4 linked regions of the Arabidopsis thaliana genome follow. The protein of the gene in region 4 interacts with the protein of the main gene of each other region in a pairwise test. Each region holds a gene or a part of one and is shown on either strand. Other genes may lie near its edges. The genes, in order: IAA2, AT5G65910, AT1G43000 and MYB39.

Region 1 (3,982 bases), on a different chromosome or scaffold from region 4:
GCGCGCGCAAAGGTCCTTTGTCCGATTGGAAAGAGAATACATTTGAGGATTAAATTGATAATTTCGTAATAGTTTAAGCCCTTAAAGGAAATAAAAAGCTGTAAACTCCTGAAGTTTTATTTATTTATAGAAAACAACTCTTTATATATTTGATTTCCAAATAATCCCAAAACCTTGATCATATGCACATAAGAACCCTATTAGAAGAGAAATGATTTTTTATTACTTGGTTCACATAATGAAAAAAACATACTTGAAAACTAGTCATTGGCGTTCGGTATTTTGGTTCAGTTCCGGTTCGAGAACTTCCCATGAGCCCTTTTGTAGTCTAAAAATCTATAATCTTAAATTGTGTTTTATTAATATTATTATGTTTTTATGTAATATTAATAACCTTTACCCTAGAAAAACTAATATTATTTTCTCAGTTTTATTATATTAAATTGTGTTTTTCAATTTCATATGTTATCAGACTTATATTATTATGTAATATTTTTTTACAATTGGTTGAATTGTTTAGGTTAGATATTAATTTCTGTTTTTAATATAACAAAATTATTACATAATAATTCTTGCAGTTTAGCTAAAACATCTAATAAGCTGAAGAGACAGAGTCATTTACAATTCATCAAAAAGAAAAATTGTTTTTGAAATCTTTTGATCGACAAGGCCTATCTATAGAATTGTGGATGTGTTTTGGGAAGGCATTATAGAAAATTTGTCTCATGTGGTGGTAAATGTTTTGCTGAATAAGTAAATAATAACCTTGGTTAAACTTTAAACAAAAAAAAAAGTTAATAAATAACCTTGGCTAAACAAATGTGTATAAGTTTCTGAAATTTAAAATATTATGTTCGTGATCAAGAACAGAAAACTGATGATCTTATAGGACATAACTACTTAATACATTATACATCTATAGATTGTGTATGTGTCCGTATTATACATAAAATCTCATGTATCTTTACATCAAACTTCAAATCTAAATACAAAAACAAAAAGAACATCACTAGAGATGGATCTCTCGTCGGACAAAACCCCGAAGTTTCGTCTTTCACGGTCAACTTTAGTCAAACTCCGATCCGAATCAAACCAAAAAGGGTTTTTCATTCATCGATCATAGTCATCATCTCCTTTTTAGACAAAAGATTCTCAGCTTCTCTGGATCATAAGGAAGAGTCTAGAGCAGGAGCGTCGGATCCCTTCATGATTCTGAGTCTCTTACAAGAAGAAGAGAACATGTCCCATGGAACATCACCAACCAACATCCAGTCACCATCTTTATCTTCGTATGTTGGTACAAATCCAGATCCTTTGTATCCTTCTCTCTCACAATATTCACCAATCATGACTTTGAACATATTCTCTAACGCTTTGAGAAGCTCGGGGTAGTTTTTGTATGTCTTGAGATCGATCTTGCGAAGGTAAGGAGCTCCGTCCATACTCACTTTCACGTAGCTCACACTGTTGTTGTTCTTACGGGAAGATCTCACTGGTGGCCAACCAACGATTTGAGTTCTGTAAATTTGAGGAAAGAAAGATTAGTAAAACTATTCAAGAGCCAATAATTTGAAAGAAGCCAATTTGAAACTCAGATCTCTTCTACTTACTTGGTAGGAGGTGTAGATTCTTCTTCATCACGAGTTTCCTCAAATAGACGCTTGTTGTTACTTTTAACGCAAGAAACCTCTTGTTCTTCTTTGATCTTCTCTGTTCTTCCGGGTAATCCAAGACATAGCTCTGTGTCCTTAAGGTTAAGCTCGTTGACTTTCTCGTACGCCATTGCTTTTGGATCAATATCAATCTTTGTGTTTCCTTCTTGTGTGTTTTCTTGGGTACTTTGTTCTTCTTGTCTTGTTCTTCTTCTTCTTGTTCTTGTTCTTGGTGAGCTGGTTGATGAGTTTTGGAGAAAAGGGGAGAGAGATATATATAAAGGAGCATCGAAGTTAGGGTTAAAGGAAGAGAGAGAAGTGTTGTCGGAAGCATGAAAGGCAAGAAAGAGGCAAGGGGACAAAAGTGGGACACGAAGCTTGAGGCCGCCCATGTGGACACGACTCTTTTGTTTAATTATTCCACGCTCCTCTTTTCCCTCCGCCAACTTTGTTTACGTTAACATCTTAGCCGTCCATCTCTATTGCCTCTTCTTTTTCTTTCAAAGGATGTATAATAATTATAACGAAAGAATATAAAAATGAATGAAATGATGAGAATTCTATCGGCCGACCCGGAATAAAAGCAAACAGAGAAAATATAAATAAAGTAAAGACTAAAGAGGTGTATTATAATAACATTTATTTACTGTTTCTTAAAGGTTTCTTCTTCTCTTTTTGAAAGTGTATAGTGCAGGTTATAAAGAAAATATCAAGTGCTAATGATTGTTAATCCATTTGTTGCATAATAGATATTCTTAATATATATTTAAATATAATGTGTTGTCTTAAAATTTGATGTGAAAGTTGATTATTATTTTTAGTTTACTTCTATTGATTTATTAATTTTTAACTTAAAAGATTAATAGATGTTTTGAAAGTATGATGTAAAAATTTCGATTCAGAAGAAAAAACGTATGGTGTAAAAAATGGTTAAAAGGACACTTATGTCAAATAAAGTACTATTTTATTGAATCCTGATTCCAAAATGAAGATTATTTAGAGTTTCCAAGTACTCTTATGTGTTACGAACTATTGAATGTGCATAAGTTGAATTTTATCATTTTTGCTCGTAGATGTAATTTGATTAATAAAGAAATATTAGTTTTATGGTTAAATCTCAGATAATATCGAATATTAAACGTTACATATTTGTCTTGCGAAGACATATTTATGCGTGGCATTTTGTATATTGTGAGTTGGAAAATGTTATAACATTTTGTGTGTAGATTTTGATTTTATAATAGGAGACGAAGACCCATGTGGATAAGGGTCAAATGTGTTGGTAATTGATAGAGGAATGGTAAAGCCATGTGCTTTCTTATGTGTATGTCTCTTTTAATTATTCATTTCCCTTCAAAATGGGTTGTGGGGGAGAGAGGTTCCACGTGCTATGTATTCATTGAATCATAAAACTTAAAAGAATGAACCAAAAAGTGGTAATTAATTTCTCCCCATAGATTACGCTTAACTATGTGCATTTAGCTTCTAATCCGCATGCGATTTGATGTTAACGTTAGGCTTTATTCAATGGATTTACCAATTTTGGATATTATTTGTTTTCTCTTCTTTTAAGATAAAGATTCCTTCTATGTTCTTGCCCCTTCCATCACCAAAAGATTAGATAAGTAAAAGCGATGCAAGATACGTTGCCTCTCTTCTTATAAGTAAATAATTTAGAGGTTCTGATTGTCAGAGTTTTATGTATTATTTCCAGTTAATAACGAACTCATGCAATGTATTTTCTCACAAACTGAGAGATGCACGAATGAATACCATTTGTCTGTTAAATATTGCACGAATGAATACTAAAGGTTAACCATTTACAGATTTCTAGAATCACTTAACATGGTGGGAAACAAACTTCTTGAGAATAGTTTTTTCCTGTTTGTGTGTTCATGCATGTTTTAGTCTTAGTGAAAATGTATTATAGAAACATAACTACTAGATCTATGTGATGCTTTATGCTTATATAGATGATTGCTAAAGTTATTTGTTGGTTAAACTAAACCTTTTTACTGAAAACCATTTAAGAAAGTACAAGAGAATTCAGTTACTGTTTATTATGGAGTTAATTCCATGAATATATATTGAACATTAAGTTTTGCCTAAAAAACAATATTGAACTTAAGCCAAATACATAAATCATTTTTAGATTATTTTGGTCTCTGTGGTCAATTTAATGTATTAATTTATGTACTGAATCAACAGTTGTTTGTTCTTTTATGTTAATATTTGATATTTTTTACTCTACAAGGACTACAGATTCTGATGACAATTTTAACGTACATATCTTGAAGAGGTACGTGAATAACTATATGAACTAGCTAATA
Region 2 (4,940 bases), on a different chromosome or scaffold from region 4:
CTTGTGTACTGGTCAAACCTACGAGAGGTCCAACATTCTCAAATGGTTCAATATAGGGCATTGTACTTGCCCAACGACGATGCAAGAGCTTTGGGATGATTTGGTCACTCCTAACAAGACTCTTCACCAATTGATCTACACTTGGTTTTCACAGAAGTATGTTTTGATGAAGAAACGATCTGAAGATGTGCAAGGACGTGCTATTGAGATTCTGGGTACGTTGAGAAAGGCTAAAGGGAAAGCAAAGGTTCATGCTTTAAGCGAGCTTAAGCAAGTTGTGATGGCTCACGCTATTGCTAAGAAGACTGTTGTTGATGAAGGTGGAGTCTTTGTGATCTCTTCTCTTTTAAGTCCTTTTACTTCTCACGCTGTTGGATCTGAGGCTATAGCTATTCTTGTTAATCTTGAGCTTGACTCTGATTCCAAAGCTGGATTGATGCAACCAGCTAGGGTCTCGTTGATGGTTGATATGTTGAATGATGGTTCGATTGAAACTAAGATCAATTGTGCTAGATTGATTGGAAGGTTGGTGGAGGAGAAAGGTTTTAGAGCAGAGCTTGTTTCTAGTCATAGTTTGCTTGTTGGATTAATGAGATTGGTTAAAGATAGGAGACGAAGAAACGGCGTTTCGCCTGCGTTAACGCTGCTCAAATCGGTTTCTGTTCATAAACAAGTTAGGAACTTGTTGGTTAGGATTGGTGCAGTTCCTCAATTGGTTGATGTTTTGCCATGTTTGGATGTGGAGTGTTTAGAGTCAGCTCTTTTCGTGTTGGATTCGTTATGTTTAGAAAGCGAAGGCAGAATTGCTTTGAAAGATTCGGTTAACACGATTCCGCATACCGTTAGGTTACTGATGAAGGTATCAGAGAAATGCACAAACTATGCGATATCGATTCTTTGGTCAGTTTGCAAATTAGCTTCTGAAGAATGTTCATCTCTTGCTGTTGAAGTTGGTTTGGCTGCAAAGCTTTTGCTTGTGATACAAAGTGGATGTGATCCAGCTTTGAAGCAACGTTCAGCTGAGCTATTGAAGTTATGTAGTCTACATTATTCAGACTCAATGTTTATCTCCAAATGTAAACTCACAAGAACTATCCAATAAAAGACTGATCAAGTTTTCACCTTTCGGGTCAAAATCACACAACGGATCTGCCCCATCTTGTTGATGTATATAGAAATGAAGAAGCTCAAGGAGTATGAGAGTAAGAAACGAGTTTCGATGTGTTGAATTCTATTTTGCAATGTTATTTGAATAATAATAGTTAAGTAGAAGTAAACTGTATAAATCTTTTTGTTGTGGTTGGTTCATTATTCAGTAGAAGAATAGATTGAAGAAAGGAATCATTTTTTTGGCCTCTTGTAAGTTACTAGCTGTTTGTGAGTCATAATAATTGGAGAAATTATTGATCTATGAATCGTTTTATTTGACACTCTTATAACCCTTAGTGATTCTTGATAGAACAGTAGGATTAGAAAACAGATATGGGTGGGTTTCAGATTTGTGGAGGGGAATAAAAGTCTTATTTTTTGAACATGCATTGGTCTGATTTGTATGCACTGTGTAAATGAATGAACAATTGAAAAGAAAGGATGATTTGACTTATGAATCGTTTCAACAGTTCACTGTTTGTTTATCTCTGTTTTTTATTTAATTGGCTATGAGAATCTGAACATATCTCTTGGAAACATTGTATCAGTGAGTGTGATGTCACTGATGTGAGAGCTCTTGTCTGGAAATAAAATCTAAACACAGTTACCAAATCTGGAAAACAATTTGTCTCAAGTTAGAAAAAATAAAATATAAATAATTTCCCGAATAGGAGCTATCTTAAGATGGGCCTTAGTTGAACTATATGGGCTATTATCCAGGTCCAGTAATATTTTGACAGTCAATACAAAATGTCGTCTTTGGCTCTAAATTGGATTAAGCTATTAAGTAAGATAAAGATTACAATATTTAAATTAGATATTGATTTAGACGGAGATTTCATTATCTATCTCTCAAGTTTGATTTGCTTCTGCTGTAACAAAAAGATCACGATCGCAACTTGTGTGTATGTGTGTGTGAGAGAGAGATTCAGATATGGCTTGGTTAGCTAGATCCATAGCGAACTCACTCAAGCTCGATGAGGAAGATGAAGATGATGATAAGCATCTGAATCAACAGCCGTCGGAATCTGTATCGGATTCACAGTCTCCACGAGGCGTTAAGGAAGACATTAGCGAACTTACCAAGACCTTGAGAACCCAATTTTGGGGTGTAGCTTCGTTCCTCTCGCAACCTTCTTCATCTCCGGATCTTCAGGAGAGAAATCAAACTCCCGATCATCCGGAGGAAGATGAGGATCTAATCGCTGGGATTAAGAACGATTTCGCTGAGATTGGTGGGAGATTCAGGACTGGGATTTCGAAACTATCTGGGAACTTACCTGTGTCTGAGTTCACAAAGATCGCTTCGAATTTCTTACAATTGAGTTCAGAAGATGTGGATCCGAAAGATTACGACGTAATCGGAGTTACAGAGGAATTAGTTGCGTTTGTGAAGGATCTTGCGATGCATCCTGAGACTTGGTTGGATTTTCCTTTACCTGATGACGACGATAGCTTTGATGGTAAGTTTTAGTTTCAGATCTTTCCTTATATATCTGAAATTGTTTCTGTGAATAGTGAAGTTCAAGTTTGATTTTGTTTTCAGTTTATATGCTTTCATGATTGGGGTATTGGGTGTTTCAGTTATTCTCAATTGTCTGTTTTTAAATCAATTTTCAGACTTTGAATTGGCCGATGCTCAATACGAGCACGCTTTAGCTGTAGAAAGGCTAGCACCGAGCTTGGCTTCTTTGAGGATTGAGCTTTGCCCTGAATATATGACTGAGAATTGCTTCTGGAGGATTTACTTTGTTCTTGTGCATCCTAAACTCAGTAAAGACCATGCCTTGCTTCTCTCCACTCCTCAGGTAAGTTTGGATTCTCAACTCCATTGCTTACAAATGTCTACCTATTTCCTTGTTTTCAAGTTTATGCCTTTCACATTGTATATAGTTGTAACCCTATGCCTGATGCTAATCATACTCTTCTAGAAAGTTATATGGTAATCCAAAACAGTGATCCTCATAAGTGAAGAGTTGTAGCATGTCAATCAGGTTTGCTAGATTTGTAAGCTTCTAGGTGGTGCTACTTCAGGTTTCCTGCGATAAAGTTAGATCATTTATTGTTCCTGTCACTAATTTTTTTTGCCTTTGCTTATGAAGGTACTCGAAGCAAGATCAATGTTATCTCAGGAACTACAGAAACGAAGCAAATTACCTGTAGAAGCAGGGAGTTCTGAAGCTAATACTGTCATTGTGGAACCTCTTACTGTGCCTCCTTCACCAGAAACAGCAGCTGTTAAAATCGTAAATCCAGTCGAGTCATCTGACGTTGAAACAGACAAGCACCCTATTGAGAGCAAAGAGATACAAATTGTTGACAAATCTGTCATTGAAGAAAGAAGCACATCCACTGCTTCTTCATCTAGATTTATTAATGTGCAAGTGGATGATGAAGACGACGACGATGCAGATGATTGGTTGAATGATGAAGAGACTTCATCAGTTAGCGCCATTGGAGGAAGATCAACCACAAATCATCCTTTTGGTGAAGACGAAGAAGATGTATCATTCAGTGATCTAGAAGAAGAAGACGATAACGAAGGAGACGTGAAAGTGAGTTACAAGAACCTTACTAACTCTGGTTCTGATTCTTCAGACAAAAAATCACCAGATTGGGTTCAGCTAAAAGAGGTAAAAGAGAAGAAAAAATCAAACGACTGGCTTGATGTTGATGCAGTGTGATGTGATCTCCAATGTTTCTTTTGGCAATATATAACATTTAAATCTACGTCTTGCAAATATCTGATGCTACCGAAATTTGTTGTGAATAATTTTTATATTCCATTTTATCAAAACCTATATAGCCGTAGTAAAAAAAACTGCAATGTTTATATATAAGACCAAGTTTATTCGCAAAACAAAATGATCAATATTTCTAAGTAACGGGGACAAAACTGGTATCTCGTCTGATATCTCTGGAAACAGCTTAAGACAACACAATCGTAAATGAATCCAAAAATAAGATACAACATTCGTTAAAAGGCATGTGCCATACTACTAAGTATGACGTTGTTTGTGCAACTGTATTTTTAGTACCTCTCGAACTTGCTTTTACCGCCGGGTCTACCACCACCACGACCTCTCTTAAACTTATTAACCGGTTCTCTCTTACTTCTGTACCCTCCTCGATCTATCTTCAGAGCAACTTTGGGAGGATCTGAGAAACCAAACGAAGTCGCAACCTCCTGCACATAAACAAAGACCTTCGGTTAACGTTTAAATTGCAGAAAACAAAAACAAATTGTATTCCTGATTTCATGACGTTTCGTATTGTTATATGTATGCTGCAGATTTGGTTACCGTGAGATTGAGTTGGTGAACATTAAAGACATCTTTCATAGAGTGAGAATCATATCCTGAAATGTATGTCTTGTATGCTTCTTTTGCTGACTCCTTCAATGCATAGTTTTCAGATATCAAATTCTCCTGCAATAACATTTTAAATAAATCTCTCAACTTTTGTTTCTTCAGTGTAGTAAAACTTATTTGAAAGAGCAAGAATGTTTTACCACAAAAGGTTTCACATCGAGCAATTTCTTTTCTTCAAATTCATGTTCCTCAACAGGAATTTTCGCCGCCTGCAAATTATACAGTTGGAAACAGATTCTTTTATCAAAATTTCTATAATTTGAAAAATTATCAAAGTTTTTATTGAATGAAAATAATTTACCTTGAGATACTGTATAAACTTCAACTCCTGTGGAGTTAGGACAAGCAGAGCCTTTCCTTTTGCTCCTTCACCACGAGCTGTTCTACCAACTCGATGAATATAATCCTAAATCAAAAGTA
Region 3 (4,020 bases), on a different chromosome or scaffold from region 4:
TTTTTGTTATTATATGTATTTTAAAGAATAAATATATTTTACTATTTTCTTCATACTCATTTAAGGTTTATTTGCTAATGTTTTGTAGTCATAACTTAAAATAGGAATAGATATTACTATAGTGAATTAGCTAATGGTTTGGTAGCTTATTATCATTAATCTCTATCTAAATAATATAATACAGAGGATGAGGAGTATACAGAGATCCATCCTCAAATTCCTGATGTTTATATATTTCCAACATTAACATCTATTAAATTGTTTTACGATGAAAATTATTTCAAGATTGTGTGAATAATTACACTTTTTCAAAAAGTACTTAAAAAGTAGTTTAACATTAAAAGCAGTTGATGATTATATATTTTTCAATAAAATGTTAAATTATATTTTAAAAAAAGTAGATAAAGTGCAATTTCAATTAGAAACGAATAGAAGACAAGTTTTAAACACCAATAGAAATATTAAAAAGCTAGATGATGTTAGTTTTAACTTCTGGACAAAAACCAAATTTGGAGGTCGTATCTCTTGTCCCCAAGAAGTCTGATTGATGAGATTTGATTTTGGACTTGCTTATCAACCGAACTTGTCAATAATAGCATTAGTAATTATAATTTTAGTAACACATTATTTACATTAATTATAATTTTAGGACAATTGTATTAACCTGACTTGTGATCTAATGACGTGGTTCATAAAGTCACTTATCGAAAGTTAATAGTGTATATTTTCTATGATATAGTTCTTTTATAATGCTAATTAAATACCTATGAAGAAATATAAGGATTGCAAATTTTGTAATTAAACTAATAGAGAGGACTCTAACAAAGCTATTTAACTACGTAAAGCATATATTTCCTTTTGTATATTACTTTTTTGTTTGTATGTAAGCGGGAATACTTACCACATGTACTACAATTCCTTGTTCACCAAACTTCAAATAACTTCCCCAACGTCCTAAGTAACATCTTTAAAATTTGAAGAACATGATAGCGAGGGAAACTAAATTCAACGTGAATTTATTTTACTTGGTTTTACTCTACTTTTGTTACTACCAAGGTGAATTTGATTTAAACCTAGTTCAAAGTCACTTTTTTCTAGCCTAGCTCAAATTATATAAATTGTGCAATGTTGTAATTGTCCTAGTCTAATTATCATCACGTTTTTTAAATTTTAGTATTGATTTCACATGTCTTAATTTTAAATTTTATTTGATGATATATTATTTGACATAGTATAAATTTCTTTTTAACACGCGTTAAAAGCAATAATTTTCTTAAAAATATTTAACCAAATTTAGCTTGTATTATACAAAAATAAAATGAGTAATATCACTACCTAACTATACTTTAGGTTTTTATTATCAAAATTTATATATGACATTTTATTATCAAAATCTATATATGACATTTTGTACATATAGTGGTTCATTTCTCACACAAGTTCTTTTAAATTTATTTTAAATTTAGTATAGATTTCACGTAACGGTTTTAAGAAGATATTCCTATTTTGTTTGACTATATTATTTGATATAATATCACTTTCTTTTTGACACGCGTCAAAAATAATAATTTCCATTAAAATCATTTGACCACTTTTAACTCTTGTTGGATTATCTACCAAATATAATTGATGTTATATAGCTATTTTATATCAAAGTCATTTTTTGGAAAAACAGGGGCTTTTAGTTAAATAAAAAAACTAGAGGACCTATAAGTAAAAATATTATAATATATAATAACATAAAAAGATAAGTAATTAACATGAGTACTATGAAAAAAAATCACACAAGCAATAAGAATTAGTAAATCATTTGTCAATCATGGTATTAATAACACATTATTTACATAAATTTTATTTTTCTTATATCTAACACGCGTCAGAAAAGATAACTGTTGTCAATATATTTATTTTACTAATTTTAACAAATAATTTATTATCTACCAAATAAAATGACAACAAAATAAAAATCTAGATCTAAATACAGCAAACCAAATAAAACCAAAGCAAAATTGATGAGAAAAAATGCTCTTTTTCACAAAACTAGGGGGTTTTGAGATTATAAAATAAATAAAGAGTCTAAATGTAAAGTTATTATAACAATATGGAAGAAAATATAAATAAAAATAAGTAACAAAAAGTAAAAAAGGCCGACCTTTTCAGTGTCTTATAAATTTCTCCATCGTCTTCTTCTTCTTCTTCTTCTTCGTCTTCTCTCTGTAAACCCCCACACAAACCTGTGGCCGCTATATTCTCCATTTTCTCAGTAACCATCTCTGTTTTTTTCTCTGTTTCTCAGATTAAGTTTCGTGTGTCAAACAGATCAAAACCCAAACAATGGTTATTCCTCTGTTTTTTTCAGAATTTTTCAATCGATGTTATTTTATAGAAATTGATTCATGGGTCTGTGTTATTTTCAGGTGAGTTCCATTGTAAAAATGGAGAACGACGACGTAATGACTCCGCCATGGCTAACACCAATGCTTCGAGCTGATTACTTCGTGACTTGTTCGATTCATTCACAATCGAGTAAAAGTGAATGTAATCTGTTTTGTTTGGATTGTTCAGGCAATGCCTTTTGTTCTTCTTGTCTCGCTCATCACAGAACCCATCGTGTTATCCAGGTTTGGTTTTCAATTTTTCATTACCCATCTATCTCTCAGGAATTTTGTCGAACACGTTTGTTTAATGAACCTAATTCTATGTTTTTTTTTTGTTGTTGTTACAGATTCGACGATCGTCGTATCATAATGTGGTGAGAGTGAGTGAGATTCAAAAACATATTGATATCTCTTGTATTCAGACTTATGTTATCAATAGTGCTAAGATCTTCTTCTTAAACGCGAGACCTCAATGTCGAACTGGTAAAAGCTTAAACAAAACATGTCAGATCTGTTCTCGTAACCTTCTCGATTCGTTCCTGTTCTGTTCTCTTGCTTGTAAGGTAAATGCTGCAATGTTGTGGTCTTTCTTCAAACTCAAGTTTGATTATATAGGTTTCTTGATTGTTTCTTATTGGTCTAAAATAGCTTGAAGGTGTGAAGAATGGAGAGGATCCAAACCTGACTTTATTTCATAGTGGAAAGAGTGATGACTCGTCGAAGATCATCAATACCGGGATTTGTAGCCGTTTGATCGACGGGATCTCGATTGCGGTTGACGACCAACGCAGCGAAACCGCGGGTGTGTTATCTCCAGAGACACCTTCAATAGAAAGCCACCGGAATTACCCAATGAAGAGTAGAAGAAAGGGTATACCTCAACGAGCACCTTTCTAAAAGGCTTTATGAAAGAGTTAAGATATAAGATAGAATATGGGAAGGATCAGAAAAGAGAAAACAAAAAGTGTTGGTAAATGACTAATGAGTAAATGGAATCATCTTACATAAATAGTAGCAAGCTTAATGATTATAAGAGTACAGAACAAAAGTGTGATTTTTTCATAGATATTGGGTTATAAATATATGATTTTAAACAGCCTTATTTACCTCACTTTTGTCTCTTTAATTATTTTTTATAGCACTATCATCTATTTTTATGATTTGGAAAAATAAAATTTTAAAATGTCACATCACATTTACAAAACATGGAGATGTAAAAATACATATTTGTATATTTATAGGAGATTCCTTCATGGTCTTTTGAATGTTCATTTTAGCTTAAAAAGTGAGAGAGTGAGTTGGCATTTATGGAGGGGATATGTGAAAAGTATGGTATAAAATAAGCTTGGTTTAATAAAGAATGGAGAAAGTGTAGTGGTGCGGATTTGTCATACTTTGCCATCAACATTGTTTTTGGGGTTTGGTGAGAGTATCTTATAATTTTTTGGGCAAAGATATATTTCCTTTTGTGGAAGGTAAATCATGTTTTGCTTGTTTACCTCCTTTTAAAGAAAACGATTTAATTTTTTATTTTGCCAAAGGATTTTCATTTTTATTGACTTTGTAGGTTCATATGGTGGACACAAACATATTGGGATTAGCCCATACATTACAAGGCTCATGCCCCATTAAAGATGTCAAC
Region 4 (4,434 bases):
GAAAAAAGATAACCGATCTAGACTGAAAGTTTATACAATGTTATGAACTCATTTGAATTCGGAAGTCAATTTTAGCTACAGAGACCGAAAGAGTGAAGCAGCCATTGAATTACAAATTGACGACTATGTATCTGTTGCGTAAGCCGCGTAACAATAACATTACATAGAATTTTAAGGCTTGTCTTATCTATACTCGTTGACAATGTCAAATAAATATAGCATAGGAATTTTATACTATATGGTGCTACTAATTACATGGAACCCTTAATATATACGACTGTTTAAATAGTCAACGTGATAAATAGAGAGTTGGTAAGTGTTTGGTTTTAATTTGACAATGTGAAACAAGCCTGAACATTGACCCTTTAAACCATAACAGTAATTTAACGGTAAAAAAATAGTAATTAAGTATGTAAACAAGATCTTCCGTGAGAGTGAAATTAAACCTCATTATTTAAATTATACTAGTAAACATTTTCTCCAACCGTAGGAAATTTCGTTTTATGTTTTTTTTCTAATTTGTCGTGATCCTTCTCATTCCTTTGAAGACAACAAGATTCTATTATGAAAGATTTTTTCAAAGATCCAATAGTATAATACAACGTAATATATAATACCAACTTTATAGTTACACCTTCTAATAAAATCCACTTACTCGTTTATGTGTTCCTCACGCTATCGACTTAATGTTTGGAACCCGCGAGAGAAGTTCTTTAATTAAATTAGTCAATCGAAAAAAGCTATCCATTTCCTTTATCAAAGTAAATCAATTCGAAAATCTCGTATTAACTTGATCATCCAAATCCATATGTATATTTTCGAATAATATAAAACAGAAATTGAGATAACCTATACTAAAGAGAGTTTCACGTAAAAAATTTATATTTTCACGTAACAAAAAATTACAAAACAATTAAACAAAAAACAAATGATAATAGCATAGGTAATTTTTTGTGACTTGAAATTCAGAACGTATGGTAGGCACAAACGACGGTTTGGTAACAATAAGGAGAATAATAATAATCTTCGTTTGAATTCAAATAGAGGAAGAAGAAGCGAAAGGGTAGGCTTTGATCAACCATGAGACATTGAAGCAGGTAGAGATAATTCTTTGAATGCGGTGGAAGCAATCACATAATGATAAATGCAAGATTCCAATTTTGATGAACTTTGCAATGAGAACATAATATTGCTTTTCAATTAAATATTAGTTAAATATACCCTTCAAGAAAAGTAGTTAACAAGTTTAATTTATAATCATGCATTTATGCGAAATTCTTATTTGTAGGTTTTAATCTAAATAGAGAAATATACACATATATAGGAAATATTCAAAAATGATCACATGCATGTTTAATTTTTGAAAAATGTGGCTTTCTTTTATAACATAATTTCAATAAGATTAGTTTGAATTGCAGATTATGAAATAGTATATAATTTGTGATTGTTTTACAAGTAAAAGAGCGTAAGAAATTTGGTCCCAAAAAAAAAAGATTTTAGTAGGGAAATATCAACATTTTATTCTAACATAGCTAGGGCAAATATTTTATACATCTAACCCACAATAACAAAATCCATTAATGCATTAACAATTATTCGTATTCTTTTATATAAAAATTATTTGTTTGAACATCATCCCCACGAATTACTCTTCGAAGTTCGAACGCCATGACACATATCATATTATCAGTACCTAATCTTGATTTTGTTATAACTATTTTGGTTATTTAACTGATTTATTGAATGACTCATATATTGTAGACTTATGACACACTATGAAAAATAATATTTACACCAAATTCTGACGAATGCATACACAACTTTACTTTAGTTATGTCATGACTGCTTTTCACATCTATATATACATACAAACCTAATCGTAGGGAGCGACGAAACGAAGATCATATCTTCAAAAACCTCTGATAAGTTTTGGTTCTTGATATAAACAAAATGGGAAGATCACCGTGTTGCGATCAAGACAAAGGCGTGAAGAAAGGACCGTGGCTGCCAGAAGAAGATGATAAGCTCACTGCTTATATAAACGAGAATGGTTATGGGAATTGGCGGTCGCTTCCTAAGCTCGCTGGACTTAACCGCTGTGGCAAGAGCTGTCGGCTCCGGTGGATGAATTATCTCCGGCCTGATATCCGGAGAGGCAAATTTTCCGATGGAGAAGAGAGTACTATCGTTAGACTCCATGCCCTCCTTGGCAACAAGTAAGACTATTTTTTTTTCGTTAAAGCTTTTATGCTATTTTGTTAGCACTAAATGATTTAGGTCTCGCTTGTTTCAGACGTAATTATGTGTTCCTGTTTACATGTTTTTTTCATAATTTTAAAATATAAACCATTTTCAGTTCTTTTAAAATTAATATAAAGTGCAAAAACAAATTTACGTATGGATACCATTGCATAGTTTATTATTGCTATTATAGAATTCACATCCTCAAGACTATAGTCTAAACTTTAGTTTATAATTCTCTAACCATACAAAAGGTTAAGTTTTCGTTGGTTCATTTTACTAACGTTTGAGTCGAATTTTTACCATACAGATGGTCGAAAATTGCGGGTCATCTTCCAGGAAGAACAGATAATGAAATTAAAAACTATTGGAACACTCATATGAGGAAGAAGTTATTGCAAATGGGGATTGATCCAGTGACGCACGAGCCAAGAACCAACGATCTTAGCCCTATCCTCGATGTTTCTCAAATGCTCGCGGCAGCAATCAACAATGGCCAATTTGGTAACAATAACCTCCTCAACAATAACACCGCTTTGGAAGATATTCTTAAACTCCAATTGATCCATAAAATGCTTCAAATCATAACCCCCAAAGCCATACCAAACATCAGTAGCTTCAAGACCAATTTACTGAATCCTAAACCAGAACCGGTAGTCAATAGCTTCAATACCAATTCAGTGAATCCTAAACCGGATCCCCCGGCTGGTCTTTTCATAAACCAAAGTGGAATCACTCCTGAGGCCGCCTCGGATTTCATTCCATCTTATGAAAATGTTTGGGATGGTTTTGAAGATAACCAGCTTCCTGGTTTGGTTACGGTTTCTCAAGAGAGTTTAAATACAGCAAAACCGGGTACCAGTACGACCACCAAGGTAAATGATCATATCAGAACCGGTATGATGCCGTGTTACTATGGTGATCAACTACTAGAAACCCCATCTACTGGTTCGGTATCGGTCTCTCCCGAGACAACCAGTTTGAACCATCCCAGTACAGCTCAACACTCATCCGGTTCAGATTTCCTAGAGGACTGGGAGAAGTTTCTTGATGATGAAACAAGTGATTCTTGCTGGAAAAGTTTCTTAGAGTAAGATCTATCTCCGCATTGATTAACATAGTATATGATTTATATTTATGGTTTATTAACAGAATTGTTTTATCTAATCTGCAGCTTAACGTCACCCACATCGTCACCTGTCCCATGGTAGAACTGGATTTTGTTCGGGTCGTATACTCATAGTTTTAAAGACAATACATACACAAAGATATTCGATTAATACTCTTAATTTTGTTTGTTATTAAATATTGATTTAAAGTTTGTATATTTTCTTGTAAAGGAATTCTTATTTGTAATTTGTTCTTATTTGGTTTGGTTGTTGTGTAAAGAAACACATTGTAATCACCATTCTATTATTGCCCATTTAATAACAATATTTTGGATAAATATCTACGAGCAGTCTAATTTATACAATCAAACAACTCTATGGAAACATAACTTGATTCACAAGTTTAATAAAAATTCACCTATTTGCCAATAAGGAAATATATTAAAATGTCAATCTCTCGATGTTTCTAACAGAAAGATTGACAAAAAATCAAAAAACAAACAGTCACCAAGAATGGAGGAAGAAGAGAAAAACCCTAGTTCGATCTACATAGTTGCCGATCTTCTAGAAGATATATTCCTTCGACTTCCCTTGAAATCCATTCTCATATCGAAAAGCGTCTCAAAACGATGGAGATCAATTCTTGAGTCGAAGACGTTCGTGGAGAGACGAATGAGTCTTCAAAAGAAGCGCAAAATCCTGGCTGCTTACAACTGCAAATGCGGCTGGGAGCCTAGGCTCCTCCCCGGGTCGTCGCAGTGCAAAGGGAACGAAGAGATCGTCTATCTGCACTGCAACGCCGCACAACCCTCGTTTACTTGCGACGGTTTGGTCTGCATTCTCGAACCACGTTGGATAGACGTTTTGAACCCCTGGACAAGGCAACTCCGGCGATACGGATTCGGATTTGGAACCATATTTGGAGTAGGTTCGGCTTTCTCTCCAAGACATTGGGCAATGGGATTTGGTAAAGATAAAGTTACCGGAAGCTATAAAGTAGTGAAGATGTGTTTAATATCTTTCAGTGAAATTTGTGCACGTGATCCTGAGGTGGAGTATAGTGTTCTTGATGTCGAAACTGGTG

The links.
Region 1: the proteins of MYB39 (region 4) and IAA2 interact in a two-hybrid assay, tested with the Arabidopsis thaliana proteins (one large-scale study listed by BioGRID).
Region 2: the proteins of MYB39 (region 4) and AT5G65910 interact in a two-hybrid assay, tested with the Arabidopsis thaliana proteins (one large-scale study listed by BioGRID).
Region 3: the proteins of MYB39 (region 4) and AT1G43000 interact in a two-hybrid assay, tested with the Arabidopsis thaliana proteins (one large-scale study listed by BioGRID).

What each region holds. Positions count from the first base shown.
Region 1 is NC_003074.8:8,179,903-8,183,884, forward strand, and holds IAA2 (indole-3-acetic acid inducible 2), read right to left. Parts: upstream 2,194-3,982; 5' UTR 2,045-2,193; coding exon 1,611-2,044; intron 1,519-1,610; coding exon 1,167-1,518; 3' UTR 744-1,166; downstream 1-743. UniProt on the Arabidopsis thaliana protein: Aux/IAA proteins are short-lived transcriptional factors that function as repressors of early auxin response genes at low auxin concentrations.
Region 2 is NC_003076.8:26,360,485-26,365,424, reverse strand, and holds AT5G65910 (BSD domain-containing protein), read left to right. Parts: upstream 1-1,936; 5' UTR 1,937-2,083; coding exon 2,084-2,612; intron 2,613-2,769; coding exon 2,770-2,957; intron 2,958-3,251; coding exon 3,252-3,833; 3' UTR 3,834-4,005; downstream 4,006-4,940. Other genes in the region: AT5G65920 (ARM repeat superfamily protein), read left to right, coding at 1-1,102; AT5G65900 (DEA(D/H)-box RNA helicase family protein), read right to left, coding at 4,181-4,336, 4,452-4,577, 4,661-4,729, 4,822-4,926.
Region 3 is NC_003070.9:16,138,381-16,142,400, forward strand, and holds AT1G43000 (PLATZ transcription factor family protein), read left to right. Parts: upstream 1-2,145; 5' UTR 2,146-2,334; coding exon 2,335-2,337; intron 2,338-2,417; coding exon 2,418-2,621; intron 2,622-2,725; coding exon 2,726-2,941; intron 2,942-3,026; coding exon 3,027-3,275; 3' UTR 3,276-3,412; downstream 3,413-4,020.
Region 4 is NC_003075.7:9,880,885-9,885,318, reverse strand, and holds MYB39 (myb domain protein 39), read left to right. Parts: upstream 1-1,886; 5' UTR 1,887-1,950; coding exon 1,951-2,216; intron 2,217-2,551; coding exon 2,552-3,331; coding exon of another isoform or gene 3,332-3,335; exon of another isoform or gene 3,336-3,415; coding exon 3,416-3,452; 3' UTR 3,453-3,720; downstream 3,721-4,434. Other genes in the region: AT4G17780 (F-box and associated interaction domains-containing protein), read left to right, coding at 3,864-4,434.